Saccharomyces cerevisiae S288C: one gene and its partner. The protein of the gene in region 2 interacts with the protein of the main gene of each other region in a pairwise test. Each region holds a gene or a part of one and is shown on either strand. Other genes may lie near its edges. The genes, in order: VIK1 and YMR051C.

Evidence for each region.
Region 1: the proteins of YMR051C (region 2) and VIK1 interact in a two-hybrid assay, tested with the Saccharomyces cerevisiae proteins (one large-scale study listed by BioGRID).

Annotation. Positions count from the first base shown.
Region 1 is NC_001148.4:68,992-78,624, reverse strand, and holds VIK1 (Vik1p), read left to right. Parts: upstream 1-5,618; coding exon 5,619-7,562; downstream 7,563-9,633. Other genes in the region: GTPase-activating protein GYP5, read left to right, coding at 1-1,956; 60S ribosomal protein eL36 RPL36B, read left to right, coding at 2,386-2,401, 2,640-2,926; ATG41 (Atg41p), read left to right, coding at 3,906-4,316; YAH1 (adrenodoxin), read left to right, coding at 4,744-5,262; HFI1 (Hfi1p), read right to left, coding at 7,674-9,140. UniProt on the Saccharomyces cerevisiae protein: Together with the minus end-directed microtubule motor KAR3, plays a role in microtubule organization. Recruits KAR3 to microtubules, and together they may stabilize the polymers. The KAR3-VIK1 heterodimer cross-links anti-parallel microtubules.
Region 2 is NC_001145.3:368,519-381,025, forward strand, and holds YMR051C (gag protein), read right to left. Parts: upstream 9,808-12,507; coding exon 8,485-9,807; downstream 1-8,484. Other genes in the region: ribosome biogenesis protein ERB1, read right to left, coding at 1-1,999; FAR3 (Far3p), read left to right, coding at 11,068-11,682; STB2 (Stb2p), read right to left, coding at 11,828-12,507.

The DNA of each region.
Region 1 (9,633 bases), on a different chromosome or scaffold from region 2:
AATCTTTCCTCAGAAACTGCTAGGAAAGTACCACCTATACCCACACAAATCATAAATGAAAAAGGTGATAACTCAAGCGAGAACGAGGTTTCCGCAATTCCCACTACATCTTCGCCACCATTACCACCTAGACAAAATGTTGCGACATCAACGTCACCAAAATTACCTCCAAGGGGCAAACAAAGGGAACAACCACCGAAGACGAAGAATGCTGTTCCACCGCCACTAGAGGAAGAAATGAAGTCAGAGAAGTTCCGTAAAAACTTCGAAGAAACTAAAAGAAATAGTTATCATCATGTTCCTCTCACTGGTTCCAAAACTGCGCAATTAGAGTCCACTGCAGAAATTAATTTGATCGCTAGTCGTTACCGCAAGACCAGTCACCATTTGAATAAAGAGGGGGAAGAAACTAGAGAGTCGTTGCAGGAAGGTCAAAGCTTTTTAAAATCGACATTTACGTCATTTCTGGAGAACTTGTCCGAGTATAACGAAGTGGAGAATGTTAATGAAGAAGATAGAGAAATGTTTAAAATTGATTGGTCCTTCTGGACTCAAGTAGTTAATGATTATGCTACAGTGGCAAGCAACGAACCAGAAAATTTAGAAGCCCATGTTACCAATGGGATACCACCACAAATTCGAGGTATCATTTGGCAGCTGATGGCGAATTCCAAATCAAGAGAAATGGAAGATATATATGAAACTCTATTGGATACCGAATGTCTTCATGAAGCAACAATACGTAGAGATTTAAGGAGAACGAAGTTTGTGGCCGAGGACAAAATGGAGTCACTATACAAGGTAATAAAGGTGTATTCTGTTTATGATCCAGATGTTGGGTACACGCAAGGCATGGGGTTCATTGCAGCGCCGCTATTAATAAACTGTGAAAACGAGGCCGAATCTTTTGGACTACTCGTTGGATTAATGAAGAATTATGGATTAAGAGAGCTTTTCTTACCAGGAATGCCTGGGCTGATGTTAATGCTTTATCAATTTGATAGATTATTAGAGGAGCATTCACCTTCTTTGTACAATCGCTTGATCCGTGAGGGAATTAGCTCCACAATGTACGCTACACAATGGTTTTTGACATTTTTCGCATACAAGTTTCCGTTAGAGTTTGTGTTAAGAATTTTTGATATTGTATTCGTAGAGGGTATTGAAGTGCTTTTGAAGTTTGCTGTAAATTTAATGTTAAAGAATGAAGAAACTTTAGTAAAATTGAGATTCGATGAACTATTGGATTTTTTAAAGGACGAACTCTTCAATTACTATTTAATGGGAAACCAGGATGACGCTTCTGTAGTGCAAATGGGATTGTCAAATGGGAACTCATTTAAGGGCAATGATGACGGCACTTTTTCCTACAATGTCGATCTTTTCGTTCATGATGCAATGACAGGTGTATATATCACACCATTAACATTAAGAAGATACAGGGGAGAGTACGTAGAAATCCATGAAAAAGAGCAAAAAAAAGAGGACCACTACGAATCACTAAGAATTCAAAACCACCAACTACAAAGAGAGGCGCAGAAGCTAGAACACGACTATTCAATTTTGAACAAAGAGAATATCAGCGCCGCTAACGAGCTGATTCAGAACAGATTGAATATGGAGATGCTGTTGGATGAAAAAAACGACCTGATAAATACAATCACTGATATCAAAAGCCAAATTGAGGAAGAGATTCGCAAGCAAAATTTACCGAACCCGGACGCGTCACTACCAAAGGCAGATCTGAGAGAAGACTTGGAAAGGACCATATCCAGGAACAATGAGGTGATGAGGGAGAACGGCCAATTAGAGGAAAGAATCACTGAACTGCAAGCGGAAATCGATGAGTTGATTAACATCAATAAGGAGCAAGTGTCCACGGCATCGTTATTGGAACGAGATTCTAAGGCTAAAGGGAGGAAAGGCTGGACTGGTTTTAAAAAAGTTTTTAAATAGATGTATAGTTTTGCGCTGTGTGCACATTGTGTGCCTCTCCAATTTGTGTTAAAAAATGCATCACGACTCGTTTAGACAATGTTGTTGTTGTTGTTTTTTTTTTGACTGTATTTTCACCCGTACATCCACGGATGTGTTGGGTTTTTGTTTCCGCTTTACCGTGCGGGAGACGACCATGACCGAGAGGTCTGGTTGCGAAAGACGCACATACCGCGTGCGCGGAACTTTTTCATTGGGTTGCCAACCAAGGCTGTTCAGGGAAGCCCGACGAGGGAAGCTAGCATGAATGCACTAGGAGAGAGAGAGAGAGAGAGGCAGAGGAAGAGGCACATCATTGCATTTCTTGAATATTCGTTTTAATTAGCGTTAAGTCTTAAGTTCGTGTATTACCATAGTCAAAACAGAATAGAGAAGCAAGGATAATACAAAATGGCTGTCAAGACTGGTATGTTTACCTGAACTAATGAACTGTAGAGCAAAAGCAAAATGAACTGAACCACTAAGCCAACAACAGAAATACAAACAGGATGAGATTAAGCTCCAGAGATATGCAAACATCGTTTATATCCTGCACCCAGCGTTGCAGTACTCCGTGGAGTCTTTGTTTATTTATTTTGCTCGTATACTACGTGAGTACTAGTGTGCTTGTTACTAACATAAGATATTCTATTTTTTTCCTCTAGGTATCGCTATTGGTTTGAACAAGGGTAAGAAAGTCACCCAAATGACTCCAGCCCCAAAGATCTCCTACAAGAAGGGTGCTGCCTCCAACAGAACCAAGTTCGTCAGATCTTTGGTTAGAGAAATCGCCGGTTTGTCCCCATATGAAAGAAGATTGATCGATTTGATCAGAAACTCCGGTGAAAAGAGAGCCAGAAAGGTCGCCAAGAAGAGATTGGGTTCTTTCACCAGAGCCAAGGCTAAGGTCGAAGAAATGAACAACATCATTGCTGCCTCTCGTCGTCATTAAACAGCGTGAGGGGGCCACAGTCAAGCAAATCCAACTCCGCCACAAGACCGAGTGCTATTTTCCATGGCTCTCCCCCAAAGCTAGTTAATAAAAAATAAGTAACAAATCATTATAGTAATTCTTAATCGATATCTATTTAAGAAGTGTAACAGCACATGCAATGAACCGACTTCGTCATTCATTACCTCTGCTTTTCCCTTTTTCAACAGTCACGTGCGCATCTCCCTTCCGGGTAAGCACCGCACATGCCAAAGACCCTATCCTGGCTCGCCCACTCACTCATCTCCATTAGAGACTCAACCACATTTGTGGGTGTGTTACAGAAGTTACACCATACCCACTGTCCTGGTCCGCAACAGTTGCAAAATCAATGATGCCTGCTACCGTCATGCTATCATGACAAACGATGGCACCTTTGCCAAGCAAAAAACTGTAAACAAAACCAAACCAAGAAGTCCCTTGGGGTTGTGAGCCATATTCTCCATCTGCGTTGTTTCATAACCAGCCCAAAGGGTTGCACGTTCTCTTCCGTCGATCTGGAACCAAGCTGTGGCGCTGCGTGGAACCGTCCGGAAATCTACAGAAGCCGTTAGAAGAAAACAGAATAAACACACGTGACCCCGTCAGTGTGGAAAGCCGCGGGATCACCACCGTTATTCGTTTTTTTTAGCACGCGCGCGAAGATGACACATTGCACACCACATGTTTATGACCATTGTTATTACTCATTTCACTGTTATTTTGCATCCACATCCACACCCGGGTGGTTTTGCAATTCGGTAATTACTCCACGGTGCATAAAGAAGCGGCTCTGCGTAAAAAGGTATATATAAGAACAGGACTCATCTTGATTTCGGAAAGGGTCTGGAGCAACTCTCTTTCTTTCTTACTTGTTTTATTCTTGAGAAAACCAAACTAAATTGGCTACACCAAACCAACCAAACTTACACACAATAATATACAATTACAATTATTTACAATGTCCTCTGTGGAATCTTCCCCCATCTCGCGCTATGAAGACGAGGTCTTCCCTCTTTCGTTTTCAAACGTTGCTTTCGAGCCCCCTATGCTCTCGCATAGCCCGGACAGATCGACTTATGCCGATGACTTTTCTCAATCTTACCAGCAAGAATTGCTAACTTTTCCGCTATCGTACCCGATTGTCGATGAGTCAGAATGCACGCACACTAAAGATAAGACGGACAGCAACATAATAACGAGTACTGAAGACGATTGCATGTTCGATATGGAATTTAACGGCAACGCCGCCAGTGCAGTTGCTGCTGCTAGTAAGGAATCTAACTCTGCCTCTGGGTTTGCCTTTGCAAGTAACGATGCCTTTGCCAATGTCGCACAACAGAACTACAGACTGTGGTTGTCATCGGTATGACGCATTTTACCACATCTCTACTTGTTCTCACGACCCCTTGCATCGCATATCCTACACATTTTAAATCGGCATTCCTTCCAAGCATATTCTTAATTCCTAATTTTACATAGTTTTTTTTTTTTTTTAGAGAAAATAACAACAATATACATAGAACTTACTTACTCAATTCTACTATATCTTTTTTTTTTGTTACTATTAGTCATGTTTGCATGACTCCATTACATTTTCGTTTTTTTGCTAGCCAATTCTGGTCGTCGGAAAAACTTTTCATTGAATCTTTCAAAGCGTGTAGCAGTTGCATTTTTTTAAAAATGAATATGTATGCAAAATATATATATGTATATATATGCCTAATATACATAATAATAGAAAAAAAAAACCTCATACGAAATAGGCGCTTCTCGTATCTATACTCAACCCGCCCCCAATGCTGAAAATTGTTACTCGGGCTGGACACACAGCTAGAATATCGAACATCGCAGCACATCTTTTACGCACCTCTCCATCTCTGCTCACACGCACCACCACAACCACAAGATTTCTGCCCTTCTCTACGTCTTCGTTCTTAAACCATGGCCATTTGAAAAAACCGAAACCAGGCGAAGAACTGAAGATAACTTTTATTCTGAAGGATGGCTCCCAGAAGACGTACGAAGTCTGTGAGGGCGAAACCATCCTGGACATCGCTCAAGGTCACAACCTGGACATGGAGGGCGCATGCGGCGGTTCTTGTGCCTGCTCCACCTGTCACGTCATCGTTGATCCAGACTACTACGATGCCCTGCCGGAACCTGAAGATGATGAAAACGATATGCTCGATCTTGCTTACGGGCTAACAGAGACAAGCAGGCTTGGGTGCCAGATTAAGATGTCAAAAGATATCGATGGGATTAGAGTCGCTCTGCCCCAGATGACAAGAAACGTTAATAACAACGATTTTAGTTAATGTCTGCATTTTTACCCCTCATTTGTGCCCCCAATTTCTCCTGTGAATAATCTATATATATATATTTATAATTATAATTATAAGGAAACAAGTCAACTTTATAATATACTCTTAAACAATCGTTTCGCGATATCCTCTGTCATGCCTCCACTGCCAGGTCTTTATTGTTTAGTCTCAATAATCGCAATTAAGTTAATAATATTTGCAATTGCGGCAAAGAAAAAATAGGTAAACAAAGAACTGAAAAAACAAAAAAAACAAAAAAACAATGAATATAGAATATGAAATGCCCTAACAACACACACATACACACACATTCTCCTCGCAAAAGCACCATTTCCTGACCAGTGTACTTTATGGCGTCACAGCAAAACAAACACGCTTTTCTTTCAAAGAATAGAATCTTTCACAATCCCGATAATGTGTCCTCATCAAAATCTCGAAACCTTATGGATATCACAAACACGACAAACACCATGAATGGCTCTAGACCTTCGTCTATGAAGAGTTCATTGGCTCTTCCACCCGTAAAGGATTCCTTCCCATCTGTATCTCGATCTGCATCATTAAACATCAACATGAGCAAAATTAAGGACTTAAAAGACCGCCAAGACAAAATAAGGTTCCAAAGACATACTCTCAGGACTCAATTGATTGAGTGCGAAAGAGAAATCAAAACCATCAAGTTTCGAGATCTCAATAAGTCCAGGTTTGAACTTTATAAGAAAAAATCCAAACAAGCAAAGTATCTCAAACAGGTTAGAGATTTGACGCAAAATCTGAACTCCAAGGACGGTGAACGCGCTGATTTAATTAAGAAGAACAAATCCGCTTTGGCAACCTTGCAGGCTGAACTCGACCAGAATCTGATCTTGAAAAGGCAGGAATCTCAAGAATTGTACAATAATAAGCTTATCTTTTGGGAAAATGAGCTGCAAATAATGGAAAATGTCGAGCCTGACCACGAAATCACAGAGGAAATATCTCAGTTGAAGAAAACGCTGCAAGAGCTCAACATAAATTGGGCGAATTTACAGAAGCAAAACTTGGAAAGACAAGTAAACCACGAATCACAATTGAGGAAGGATTTTATTGCATTCAAAGAAGCTAAGTTAAAATCCATGGAAAATTTGACAAACAAACATCGTGAATTACTTGATCAGATAGCCACTCTACAATCGGAAAGTGAGAAGTTACACAAGGAGATCATGGATATAGATAGACAAGCTGAATATTCGGAACAAAACATCTCAGAAATAAATGAAAATATAAAACAATTGGAATTGGCAAACAACCCACTAATAAGCAAATCCTTACAAAACTCGCAAGATTTGGAACATTTACAAAACCAAATGGAAAATTTGAAAGAAATGGCCTCTAAACAGGAAAAATTTTATAATGATACCTATAACACTGTGGAAAAAGAACTCCTGCGGAGTAGGAGACTTGAAAACTCTATTATTGAACAAAAAGGCACGATGCGCTGTTACGCTTACGTGATGGAGCAAAATTTGCCTGAGAACCTTTTATTTGATTACGAAAATGGCGTAATAACCCAAGGTCTAAGCGAACATGTTTACAAATTTAATAGGGTGATACCGCATTTAAAAGTTTCTGAAGATAAATTTTTCACTCAAGAGTATAGCGTTTACCATGATATGTGCCTGAACCAAAAAAAAAATTTCAACTTAATATCTCTAAGCACCACTCCACATGGCTCATTGAGAGAGTCTCTAATAAAATTTTTGGCCGAAAAGGATACAATATATCAAAAACAATATGTGATCACCTTACAGTTTGTATTTTTATCAGATGACGAATTTTCTCAGGACATGCTCTTGGATTATTCCCACAATGATAAAGATAGCATAAAGTTGAAATTTGAAAAACACTCAATTTCTTTGGATTCCAAACTTGTCATCATAGAAAATGGACTCGAAGATTTGCCCTTAAATTTTAGTTGTGATGAACACCCAAATTTACCTCATTCTGGGATGGGTATAATCAAGGTGCAGTTTTTTCCTCGAGATTCAAAAAGCGATGGCAACAATGACCCCGTACCGGTGGACTTTTATTTTATCGAGTTAAATAATCTGAAGTCCATTGAACAGTTTGATAAAAGCATCTTTAAGAAGGAATCATGCGAGACCCCTATTGCACTTGTTCTGAAAAAACTAATTTCTGATACTAAATCCTTTTTCTTGCTAAACTTGAACGATTCAAAAAATGTCAATAAATTATTAACGATTTCAGAAGAAGTTCAAACACAACTTTGTAAAAGAAAGAAAAAGCTCACTTAAGCTCGGTCACATTATCGTCTTTCTTAACACAGCCATTTAGATATGAAACAAATAAGGTTTATAATCTTTCAATATAATTACAACATACCGCATACACACACTTTTTATACATCAATCTTCCGTTAAGATTCCTTTAATTAACCAATTTAATTCATGCCTTGTACCAACGTTTCTTTCATCCAAAGGCGTGAAAGTCGGCTTTTCATTTAAGAAGTCCGGCAAGTCGTCAATATTGCTCTTCATATCTACTAGTTCATCATCGTTAACTAGCCCTAAATTAGTTAACGCATAGTATGAACCTGAAGGTTCAACCAAATTCGGAAATATAGATAACGAATCATATATGTCTTCATTCGTTAATGATATCGTTCTGTTTTCATGTAACTCCTCATTAACTGCTTCGCCAGCCTTTGTAATGCTGCTCATTGATATGTCGCCAATATCGTCCTTGCTACTGTTATTGCCGTTATTAATACTTTTGGCTTCATCGGCACATTCATCCTCATTTTTATCATCATCTAACTGCTTAATTTTGGCATCGCGTTTATCAGCAGCCATTTCTGATACGGATTTATAAAGCCCACTCTCATTCAAATCATAATAATCTGAATATTTCTTCCTTCTATAACGAACTGTATCAATAGTAAACTCTATTATATTTTTTAGATATTGATCTAGGGCCAATGATATAAGCTCTACGCAACGTGCGTCCACTGTGCCGACTAACCCATGTTCTCTTGCTATACCAACCATTCTTAAGTAAAACGAATCCGTGTCTGGTAAAGAATGGCTTTCGCTCGCTAAAGGAACGTTGAATCCATTCATTATATCTTGTGACCATTCCAGCGGCGTTTTTAAATTATTGCTCTTGACACGCTTCAAACTTTCTGGATTGGTTACAATGGGAATTTTGGGTATATTATTTAATCTGGCTTGAAATACAGAGCAAAAAATGAAGCCTCTTTTGCCGGCCTCTTTCGTGATCATTTTAAGTCTATTTCGATCATTTAGAGGTAACGACATGACAATTTTTTTATAGACTTCAATTTGAGAGTTATGCTTATTGATTCTTTTTAGTTTATTGTTTGGATTGTTGCTTCCATTGCCAAATCCCCAAGAACTCTCATTACCGTTTCTCCCAAGAGGGTTTTCACGTAATGAATTAGCAAAAATCCCTAATAAAAGTTGGTTATGAAGTCGTACTAAACTATGGTGATGATTTGTATTTGATTTTTCTAAGCTTGCAGCGCTTGGTGAAAATACCAGCTCTAATTCATTAGAAAGTTCCTTTCTGGATAACTTCCCTAAAATGAAAAGACTGATGATCTGAGCATATTTCGTCCAGCTTTCTTTTCCCAATAGTGAGGTTAATTCTTCGATCATGGCACCCAAATCAATTCTCTGATTTGGTCCCTGAGGCTCCGCAGTTTCATTGTTACCATTGTTAGGCTCGGTATGATTACTGACGGCAGGACTACCAATTAGGCCCGGCTTCATATATGCATTCGTGGAAGCTGGCGAAGCAGCTGGATAAGTTGGCTGCAGAGGTTTAGGTGCTGGCGATTGTATAGCTGACATGATAGAAGAAATCAAAACTACTGGGCTTGTTTTCCCTATATTTTTATTGAATTTTTATTACCACTTATAGCTCAAAATTTATACTGTGGGAAAAATCACGTGCGAGAAAGTAAGCCCTATCCAATGATGATAACGAACAGACGAATGAAAAGAGCAACGATACTTTGTTAATCTGTTGTAAGTTCGATGTTCAAGGCACAAGTAGACAGAGACAATTTCGCGTTGCACCTACTTCTATCCTGAATTTTATCTTTTTTATTTTAACAAATTTATGTCACATCGTAACTTCAAGTTTCACTTTTTTTGTTCAAAATCGCAACCTGATAATGAAGAAAAAATGGGCGGGAATTACAGCTCGTGTTGAGTGATGATAATAAGAACGTATCTTTTTTTATTCCGTTATCTATATAATGTACATACCTAAGTAGTTAACACATTATCATTGCTATCATGACGTATTTTTAATGTTACAGTGGGAGAAACGTGTCAGCTT
Region 2 (12,507 bases):
AATCATAAATTCTGACATATCTTTGGGAACAGACAAATAATTGAGGTTTAAAAGGATGGAACTTCGCATCCATAATAATGCCCTTCGATTTTTTGAATGGGGATTGGGTTAAATGCTTGGAAACTTGGTGAATCAAAACAGAAGTGTTACCAGAGTCAGGTTGAACAGTGACAAAGTAATCACCTTTTCTATGCCATGAAAGCTTTTTTACTGTTTTTTTGCAAGAAATAGTGATACAAATATCCTTTTCTAGTTGCTTTTGAGAAGGCTTGTTCCATTGGGCTACTTGTTTTTTTACAGCATTCTTAGCAGATTCATTCTCTCCATCTTCATCGCCATCACCATTCTCGTTCACTTCTAGGTTAGATTTTTTAACAGTCCCAAAAGTATCGTAGCCAAAACCATCTTCAATCTTAGTTTTGCCGTTATTTTCAATATCGTAGCCGAATATTGGTGGTACTATTAAATGAATGTTTTCACCAACAGCAACGGCGAGAATACCATTATTAGCATCAGGATTCCATTCAATGCATTCAATGTGGTAATCTGGGTTTTCCTCGTCATCGATTAAAGTAGTTCTATAAACTTCTCTACCAGTTAAAATTTCCCATACCCTGACTGTTCCGTCATCAGATCCTGTTGCTAGCCATAATCCAGAAGGATCAATGGATAATGTGCGTACTTTTCCTTTGTGACCAGCGTATATTGTTGAGCAACGAATAGGGAAGGGTCTTAAATCCTTGGGAGAGGGAAGTTCTGGAATTAGAGAATTAGGATCAATATTCAATTTGTTTTTACGGACACGAGGAGCTAAATATAAATCCAAAGATCTTTCAAATCTTTCCCTAATAGATTCACCGTAACCAGGGACCTTTCTTAAGGCAGAATACTTTTGAGGTATGAAGTTTCTTTCTCTTTCACTATATTCAGTATTTTCCCAGGCCTCCTTTTCTTCAGGAGACAAAAGATACTCTTCTGGTGGATTATAACTCTCTTCATTAGTTGGTGGAGGTAATTTTGGTGCCCTTAGATGCATTACATGATCATTTGTTTCCGTAGAATCACCCCATAAATCGTATTGATAGTTTTCAATTTTTTCCTTTTCTTTCATTTCCTTTAATTTTTTAGGAGGAATAATACGGCCCTCTCTGATAGCTCTTACAATTTTCATAACTCTCTTGGCTTCGTTTTTGGATGGAACAAATCTTCTTTTTGGCTCCGGAACAGCAGTTAATGGCATCACTTCTTCGTGTCTCGTGAACCAATCGATTAACGGTTCGTATGGATTTATGCTATCATCAGTTTGTTCGTTCCTTTGGATTTTGGAAATAAGTTCTAATTCCTCTTTGGTTAAGTTCAAACTTGAACCGGAATTCTTGTCCAGTAAACCAGTCCAGCCTTCAGGTAGCTCGATAGAATCCAACAGTTGATCTAAAGCAGAACCCTTGGCAGGTCTCATAATCCTTTTACCGTTGATATCGTATCCAATGTGTGGCATTTCATCGTATGCAGAAAGTGGAATATTACCAATGGTATTTTGCGTTTCGGCATCACTATCATCGCTATCATAAACTGGATTAATTTCAGGTTTGATAATTCTATCACTGCCATCTGCATATTTTGAGTAAATATTCGGATCAACGATCGTTTGCAATTTCACACCCGATAATCTGTCTGTTAAGGAAGTTGTGTCGTCTGAAAACTCAGAACTGTCATAGTCCTCTTCCCCATCACCTTCTTCTTCGGCAAGCAGTTTGTTTAATTCAGCATCGGAGTCATCATCAGAATCATCTTGGGCTTCTTTATCAGAAGATGATTCCTTTTCTTCAACGGCAGACTCGTATTCGTCATCATCCTCGTCACTCTCACTTGCTTCCGCATCGATCAAACCGTCAACGGATAAAAGCTTGTCCTCATCTTCCTCGACATCAGATTCTTCGCTAGCTGCTCTCTTTTTCGACATCTTTGCCTCGGTAGTTTTGTTGTTCTTAGCCATCATTGACCTAGTTATGTTAGAACAGATTTAATACAGTACCTTTCTTCGCTAGGATCTATATGCGAATATATCACATATGTAAATTATAAGCTCATCGCAAAACCAAAAAAAAAAAAATTTTCAATAATTTTTCACTAATCTTCAAAAACAAATGGGGTAACCCGTACAAGAGTTATTAAAACCCAAAATGACAAAATCGCGACAATTCAATCCTACTTAATTAGCAATAACATACTAGCGGTAGAGCTACTATCACATGTTGAACCTTGAATGCTCAATTCATTGTACTCAATACTGCTATCAAAAGAAAAAAAATGTATTAATTATATTCTTGTCAAAATCAATTTTACACTATAAGAGGAAAATGTTCTTCAGTCCTAGTAACATTAGTTTTCTCCCTTTGCTAGAGACTTTACATAATATCCTAGAAGGTAAAATTCGATAATACAGCAGTAAAGTCGTATATTGGTAGCAATCCTTGGTGACGCTGACTTTTTTTTTTTGTAATTTTATTGTTTAGTTCATGATAAAAAACTTCAAATCACTTTTAATCTGGTAGACAGAGAAAACAAATCGAAACGAAAATAGAGAACTACGAATAAAAAAATATAAGTGGAGAAGATCGTCACTACGCATTAAACAATATTGATCGCTCAATGCCAGTACTGCGCGTAAAAGTTTAGTAACTTAACGATTTAGGCACAATTTGAGAAAAATTTCGCCCTGCAGTAAGTATGTTATTCAGTACGATATAAAGCTGAGGTTTTATGCTGGCAACGTTCAGATTTTTTAGGTTATCAGCAATGTTAAAATATTAAATAGGATACTTTTATTGTTTGAGACCACCCTCAATGCCAGATATGTTAAACGCTTTTTTCTGGAGTGAGGTATCATAGAAAAAGGCTCGAGTACATCAAGCACTTAAAGGTTCAACACTCTACTGTTACTTCTTTAAGCTAAGCTATTCATACATAATAGTCCATCAAAGTGGCTCAAATTGCGCATACAGTGTAAAAATGCGTTCAGGGAATAACGATGTCAAGCAGCGTGTGAAAATTGGACACGTTGAATAATAAACTTCCTGGAAACCGTCGCGCGCCACTGCTGTCAGAAAATAGTAGACTACTTAATTTTCAATTCATATTTAGCCTGCTTTTTGATCTATGAAATCGCCCACTCTAAATCAGCGGTGTTTTTGCACGGTTTGTAATTTTAACTTCATTATATGTATTATTCGGTGACTTCACTAAAAAAGAAGGATCTATGCAATATTCTTATCTTCTATTTTTTTTCTTTTCGATTTTTGAAGTTAAACCTTCGTAATGAACAGATTCGAACAGTATACAGCTGATGACAATTACATGTTAAACTTTCATTGATGATAATGGCACGCACTCCACCTGTTAAAGAGGCAGAACGAAGAACCTTTGCTTATAACATAGGTCAGTGTATACTGGATAATAGTATCGAATAACCAGCATAATATTTTCTCTGGAAATACCTTTAAGGGGTTTTTAGAAGAAAAACAAATCCTAGTGCAACTTGCAAGTCATCAAAAATAATCTATCTTATCTCTATATATATATTTGTGTATTTTATATTTTATGACAAAGCTAGAAATATAAAATCAGATACCGCAATAGAAGATATTTCAAATAATAATACCAATCTCATAGCTCAAAACAGGCACTAAGGGAATACTGAAGAAAGTAATGTCTAGGAGTTAGTATAGCTTGAAGTTGCCATCGGTGTCATTTAGGTAGATCTATCTAGATTACGCGCAGCCCTCAGAAAAGCAAGTGATTTCCGAAGTTTCAACCTACCCAGACTATTCACATAAGGTTAATTTATGATTGAACAGTTCAAATAAATCTGCGCCATTCATGAAGATGATTCGATACCGCAATATGCTGCTAAAGTGCTAAAAAAATGATTTCGCCCAGGATCGAACTGGGGACGTTCTGCGTGTTAAGCAGATGCCATAACCGACTAGACCACGAAACCAGGTTTTATTGAAAAATTGCATCTAAAATAACCTATACTAATAAATCTTCTAATAAATCTTCTAACTCTTCGCTGTTCTATGTGATATCGTTGATAGTTAGGTTTTCGTGTTGAAATAATCAATTACATTTATTGACTGGTTTAATATTAATATATTATCATATACAGTGTAAGAAGGTGAGATATATGTGGGTAATTAGATAATTGTTGGGATTCCATTGTTGATAAAGGCTATAATATTAGGTATACAGAATATACTAGAAGTTCTCCTCGAGGATATAGGAATCCTCAAAATGGAATCTATATTTCTACATACTAATATTACGATTATTCCTCATTCCGTTTTATATGTTTATATTCATTGATCCTATTACATTATCAATCCTTGCGTTTCAGCTTCCTCTAACATCGATGACAGCTTCTCATAACTTATGTCATCATCTTAACACCGTATATGATAATATATTGATAATATAACTATTAGTTGATAGACGATAGTGGATTTTTATTCCAACATACCACCCATAATGTAATAGATCTAATGAATCCATTTGTTTGTTAATAGTTTGAATGTTTTTATCGGAAGAGGTTTGGTCATTACGTCTGCAATATTCTTTTTGGTTTCGATATAGCATACGTGCAGATGATTTCCTGATACTTCATCTCTTAGTCTCATTGCTTTAGTACCAAAAAATCTGTTTCTAAATTTCTCTTCATTATTGGATATAATTATACTGATTGTAGATTTACTGTCGGTTAGTAATCCTTTAGTAATTGGTTTCTTGTTAAGTTCTTGCACAAGGTGACTGAGGTTATTTAATAATGGGACAGATTCACTTATCGCGTGTATTTCTGCTTCCGTAGTTGAAGTACATGTTAATGAAGCCTTGGTGGACTTTCCTCCAATTACTTTTCCATTAAGTAAATATATGTTGCCAATTTGTGATTTATAATACGGTTGGTTACCATACGATGCATCGCTTATAACAACTAATTTATTTGTTGGCTTAACAGGTTTGCTTTTGTGCCATATTAATTGCTTATCTCTCGTATTCCATATGAACTGTATCAATTCATATGTCATATCTAACACTTGCTTGGACGGAAATAGTATATGTTGTGCAAGTGTGTTGATGTAGTATAATAGGTCAAATCTAAATTTATATCCAACATATGATGCTAGACCTATCAGCTTTTGCATTTCATGTACCTTCATTTTGTAATCATCTTCTTCTAGCTCTAGTTCTTGCTGGTCTATATATAGACCTGGTTGACCTGGAGCGCTAAGTTTCCTTCCTTTTGGGTTCAAAGGTACGTTTAGTTTGGGTATTTTTTCAGTTAATGAGTTTTCCATACCTAATTTCATGTATTTACCTCTTTGATATTTGATTTCTAAGCCAAGTATGTCGTACTGAATTTCGTTATCACTTTCACCCAGATTTATTATCTTTGTATCGTATTGTTTCTTGAGTGTTGTTATGATTTTCTTATTTGCATTTAAGTCTTTGCTGAACAATATCATATCATCAACGAATAAGCAAATTGTTACTTGACTATTCTTAAATACGCATGACCATCCACGAACTTCTTCCATACCACACTGTTTTATCAGGTATGATTTGATAGTTTCGTACCAGTTCGCTCCACTTTGTTTCAATCCATAAAGTGATTTCTTCAAACGTATTAACTTATCATTCATTCCTAAATGTGGTGGAGGTCTTATGTATAGTTCTTCTTTGATGTCTGCATACAAATATGCCGAAGATATGTCTAATTGTGTAATATAGTAGTTATTGTCTAATGCAAGTGACAGGGATGTCATTAATGCATAGTGATGTACGGTATTGGATTGCATGCCTGGGTCGTAAGTGTCAGGATGTTGAATATCACCTCTTGCAACAAATCTAGCTTTATGAGTACCGTCACGTTTCCTGTTAAAGATAAACATTGAATTTATTACTCTTTTGGGGTCTATTTCTTTTCTGTCATAATATCTGTCAGTGTCCCAAGTTTTCATCTTCAACAGTTGATTGACTTCTTTGTGGTATGCCTGGATATATTTTTCTTTTTCTTTAATATCTTTATTATAGGTGATTGCCTCATCGTATCGTAAGGTTGTCCGTATTGGTTTGATTGATTTTACTGCTTTTACAGCTGCAATCAGGTGAATTCGTTTCTTCGATCTCGGAGGTTCTAAACTACGCATATTCTTAGTATTCCATGTGTCTCGTGATACCTTAATTTCAGTTTCATTATCTTCTAATGATCTTTTCTTACTGTTGATAGTAGTATAGGCATTAGAGTCACCAATACCACCCAAACTGGAATTAGTTTGACGAGAATTGATCGGTGGGAGTTCTTTAAATGGGTCAGGGAATTCGGTAGGAGATTCTGGAGGTAGATCAGGGAGTGGGAGATCAGCGATGATAGATTCCTCGGTATTCTGTTCAGAAACAGTAGTTGGCGTTTTGATAGGAACAATATTGTGCGATGAATTATTTTCCGGTGGAGAAGCATCGATTGAAGGTGAACGGTGTATAATCCTTTTCTCAGTCTCTTGGTCACTTATCTGCGGAACAGTTTTGTTGTTGGTACCACCCGTACTGGATATTGGTACGTTTGTATGATTAGTCTCATTTTCACTGTACGAGTCTGAGTGTCTGAAATCTTTAGATTTACTGGCGTGCGACGACTCATGTGTGTTAGATTGGGACATGGGAGCAAGTAAAGGAACATTTAATTTATGCATACCACCCGAACCGGTACTCTCGATATTGGAAATTTGGGGGGTGCTAGATCTCTTCTTTGATGGAAGAATATTAGATTCAGATATGTTGGGGTCAACTTCTCTGGGTGCGCGAATATTGGTTTTAGAAACACGTTTCGAATCTTCAGTATGAGTTGACGGAGGTGTGGAATCGGTTGGACTCACAGCTTTTGAAAGGACATTTCTCGGTTGCTCAGGATGTAGTTCGATGTCAGATTGGAAGTCATGGTCAGATTCTATGTTAAGATCATCGGATTGTTGGATCTCATTTGACGCAATGAACGATTGATATGAAGCAGTTAAACGGTTTAAGTCTTCATCGAAAGTGAGTGCGTCGTAATTGAATTGATCTAATCTGGATTCCTTGCCCTGAAGAATAACATAGTTAGTTGTATCTACTGTCTTCTTTAAGGATGGAAGATAGATGATATATCCATAAGAGTTTCGAGACGGATGTAGAGCGTAGCCTGGGATGCCACGAGGATGTATTTTGGAGTTAGGGTTGTGATCATTGACGATAACAGGTTGACCGAAAGGTAACAAAGTACTGATATCAAGTCCTGCCAAGCCAGCATGTTGTCTTGCAGATTTTTTGCTTTTAGGTGAAGCTAGTGAATTTCTCACAATAGTAGAAAATTCGATTGCAGAGAACCATAAATGGTTCGGTAAACCACTACATTGCAGTTGAGTACGGCAGTCATCTAATAAGGTACGGTTGAGCCGTTCAGCGACTCCATGTGCTCGGGAATCCGCTGTGGTTGTATAGCATGGAGTTATACCATTTTTTTCAAGGAATTTATGGAGAGTTCTGTTAGTATACTCAGAACCACGGTCCATTTGTATAACCAAGACACTGGCCTGAAACTGGTTCTTAATAAAAGCTAGTATCGTAGTAAAAACATCGAGGATAGAGTCCTCGCGACGGTCGTGTAATGGATAAACCCAACGGAATTTTGTTGTCTCATCAGTAAATGAGATGAAATAGGATGGTGCACTTTTTGGTAGGTTGTGAACTGGACCAAATATGTCAGTATGTAGGTATTGAAAGGGTTCGTATGAATTTTGGTATTTTAGTCGTGAACCTTTGATATGTCTGTGTTTGGTGCTTTTGCCGATTAAACAATCAGGACATTGATAGTCAATAGCACTAGACCAGTCGACATCTGATTCGTTAAAATACGTGATGGTGTTATTTTTAAGTGAGTATCGAATTGTCTGTGCATTGGCATGCGCAAGCATTCGATGAATGAAAGGATAAGGATATTTGCGTGTACTTTCACTTGTATGGACATTATTGATGGTGGGTACGGAGATATTTGATGGAAGCAAGTACTTTTTAGATACCCAGTAAAAGTCTCCATATTTTACGATAGGTGCAAGTACAGTGCCGTCAGACCGTTCTAAGACGTTTTTGGTAAAGCATGCTGTGATATCTACTGCAGCCAATTCATTCAAACTGAGTAAGTCATAGGCTATGTTAGGAGTGTGCAATACCTTTATTGATGTTTTGGTGTTGTCCTGGAAGTGAAATTGTAGGTCACCAATAGCGTTAATTGGTATATTTCTTTTTTGAGCATCAACTACGTTTATGTCAGGATTAGATGATGCTGAGTGTATGTGATGAGCAGATCTTATAAGGGTTCGTGATGCTCCTGAATCGAGAAGGAGGTGTCCAGGGAGTTCATCATCAGAATGATTAGTATGATTTACTGTAGATTCAGTAAGTTTCTGGCCTAAGATGAAGGTCGTGCTTATTGTTCAATTGAATCGGTTCAGTAGTTGATTTACTGATGGAATCGTTGTCCGTGCTGGGAGAGTTATTAGATGTGGATACATTGTGAGCCCTGGCTGTTTTCGATTTCGAATTATTTGTTTTTTGAGGATTCCGAGCTATAACTTTGGGTTTGGTTGTATTCGTATAGCTGCGAGAATCATTCTTCTCATCACTCGGATTTCTCCTGTAATTAGGTTTGCTGTTTCTCGATCCCTGTTGTTCTTCATAAATAGCATGGATATCTAAGAACAGTTCAGCGACTGTCATATTTAGATGTCGATGACGTGTGTAGCGTAAAAATTTATATTCGCCAGATAGACCTCTCATAATTAATTGGCATGCGACCTTGTTATTGATATGAATGCCATTATTGTTCAGTCTGTCGATAATGTTTGTGACTTTTGTTTCAAATGCATCTGCAGGTGTACTGCCATTATATTGCAAATTTGCCAGGGTCACAATGTCGTTTGCCTCTTGGGTATCAGATTGCATTTTTTCAATACTTTTGGAAAGAATTTTCATGATATCCGTATAATCAACGGATAGGATGTCTTTGACCCAGGTAGGTAGGAATTGAGAGGGAGCAAATATTTGAAAAGTGTTATACAAGAAGGTGAGTTCATCATCAGTGATCTGACGTACGGGTTTTCCGTTTACTGTCGGAATAATACCACCGAGATTCGAGTTTTGTAAAAATTTGATGTATGTTTTAACCCAATTTGGAAAATCATTAGGTGAGGTTAACATTGGTGGTGGTCTGACATATTTTTTAGTGGATGTCATATCAGAGTCCGCTGAGGATGAATCAGTAAATGTATTACCTGACTCAGGTGATGGAGTGCTCAGAGGCGTTCCAACTGATGATGGATACTGCGGAAACTGTGATTGTGGCCCAGGTGGAAAGTACATAGGCGACATTTGATAAGGTGTATACGGAATCATAGATGGGTGTCCGTAAAATGACCAACCAGATGGATTGGCTTGGTTTTGGGTCATCATGCACTGCTGTGGGTACGGCCCATTCTGTGGAGGTGGTACTGAAGCAGGTTGAGGAGAGGCATGATGGGGGTTCTCTGGAACAGCTGATGAAGCAGGTGTTGTTGTCTGTTGAGAGTTAGCCTTAGTGGAAGCCTTATCATATTCTTGAATTTTGGAAGCTGAAACGTCTAACGGATCTTGATTTGTGTGGACTTCCTTAGAAGTAACCGAAGCACAGGCGCTACCATGAGATATATGTGGGTAATTAGATAATTGTTGGGATTCCATTGTTGATAAAGGCTATAATATTAGGTATACAGAATATACTAGAAGTTCTCCTCGAGGATATAGGAATCCTCAAAATGGAATCTATATTTCTACATACTAATATTACGATTATTCCTCATTCCGTTTTATATGTTTATATTCATTGATCCTATTACATTATCAATCCTTGCGTTTCAGCTTCCTCTAACATCGATGACAGCTTCTCATAACTTATGTCATCATCTTAACACCGTATATGATAATATATTGATAATATAACTATTAGTTGATAGACGATAGTGGATTTTTATTCCAACAGAAGGTGATCTAAAGATTGAGAAACAGTCACCAGATTTAGGGGAAGCTGAAATGCAATGATTGATAATGTAATAAGAAGCGAGAGGGAAAGTATAAAAAGGAAGTGATCAATTTGTGAATAATTTGATAACCGTTGGGATTCTATTGTTCGCAAGGGCTTTATTTTATTATGTGTACAGAATATAATAAAATTTCCCCTGAGAGATATACCAATCCTCAAATTGGAATCGATACTCCTATATAATACAATTACAATTATTTCTCCCTCCCTTTCGTATGTTTCATTATCCTAGTACATTATCAATCCTTATATTTCTGCTTCCATTAAATTTTACGACTGTTTCTCAATGTTTAGATCATCTTCTTACACTGTATATGATAATGTACGAGTGGCATGAATACTACTGAACAGATGATATTTTATAGCTTCATTCCAACAGAAAGAACATAAAGTAATATCGTTACGTAAAACTATCGATTCCCTTTTGACGATTCCTACATCCTCGAGAAGAAGTTCTAGTATATTCTGTGTACCTAATATTGTAGGCTCTAACAACAATGGAATCCCAACAATTAATCATCTTGATTATTTTATTCCCCGCGTTTTAGAGCATCAATCTTGCCAGCTTATAGCTGGTCATTGTCGACGATAATCTCAAGCACAGGGCTAAAAAATAAATTGAAACGGACAGGAATTGAACCTGCAACCCTTCGATTGCAATCTTATTCCGTGGAATTTCCAAGATTTAATTGGAGTCGAAAGCTCTACCATTGAGCCACCGCTTCAACTTTTATTGTTTATATTGACACCTGTATAACAATATAACCACAATAAAAGGTTCATTCAAAGCTCCGGCTAGCATTCGGCGATTAATGAAGAAAGTTAAACCGTGATTTATTACTTCTTGCTCGTTTTTTCCATCATAAGTTCGCACAGAGCAGTATATATAGTGATTTGCAAATATGAATAGCGGTGGTAGTGATAGTTTCGATTATCTTCTTCAATTAACAAAAGCTTTAAGTGCAGAGTGTCGGGCTAACAGACAAGAGACCGATCGAATAGAACTATTGTTAAAGCGCCTTGCCAAACAGTCAGGAATATCTTATGATAATTTGAGCAAAAACATAATTCCAGATTCATGGAAAGATAATGCATCTCAAAAAGCATCTCCCCCCACTGAGGCACAGAAGCTTATCAGCGAAAATTTTAAACTCATATACGAGATTGAAAAACAAGAGTACTTCAATACAAAGGCTGTTGCGCTAATTAACAACATAAATGAGCATTTCTCATATATTAAAAATTTTATCGACGAACAGAATGCAATAAGAGAACGAAATATTGCCACATTTTCATCAGAGAAGCTTGATGAAAGGAACAAAAGTCTTCAACAAAATTACGAGTCATTGAAGACAGAAAATGAAGAAACAAAAAAAAAATTGCATTCAATTATCAAACAGTTTGAAAAACTTTTGAAGGAAGTGGATTGGGATCGTATATCTAAAGATTCCAGAGATTACAGCCGCTTTAAAAAACAGTTGGAATACCTGCAAGACACGTACCAGGTACTGAAATAGCCTACGATGGATCGAACAAAAGTGTAAGCAGACGTGAAATAGCAAACCTTTGAATGCATTTATATATTTTAATATACTTATAACAACGGATAAATGTTTAGATCCCTTTTGAAAAAAAAAAAAAATTAGGATGAACCGAAAAAAATCATACTCGTATTCCTCTATCGTCTTCACTGGCATTATTGTGTAAAGAATTATTACCAAATAACCACCTGAACCACCCCACAGTATCATTCTTTAAATCTTTAAAATAACGGCGGCTCAGCATCTTTAAACAAAGAGCTTCATAGGTGGGGTTGTTAGTGGTCATCAAATCATTTACGCATCTATCATATTCGTCTTTATCACTCTTGGGATCTATTGCAGAGCATATTCCAGTTTTACCCTGTCCCTGAAGAGAGCTTTTCAACCCAATTAATTTGGAATCAAACTGAGCAACACTACTTTCAATATCTCGTACACGAACTTCCAATATCCTCATATCATATTTCAACCTAGATGATAAGGAATTTAACTCTTGCATCTCATGGAGAAGAAGTTGTTGCTTATTGTCAATGTCTTCAAATCTCCCTTCAAACACTTTTGCACCATCTGAATACTTCTTATATAGTTCTTGCAGTCTTTTATATCTTTCGTTGAATTTAGAGTACTGACCAACAGTTCCCTCCTTATTTAATTTACCCATATAATGCTCATCCATTTCTTGTATGTGTTGCTGCGCTTGGATGTCGTATTTCATTCGTAACAAATCTCTAGCTATTCGAACAACAGATGGATCAAATGGTAAATCCCATTTTTCCACAATATTCTGTACAGCAGAAGAAG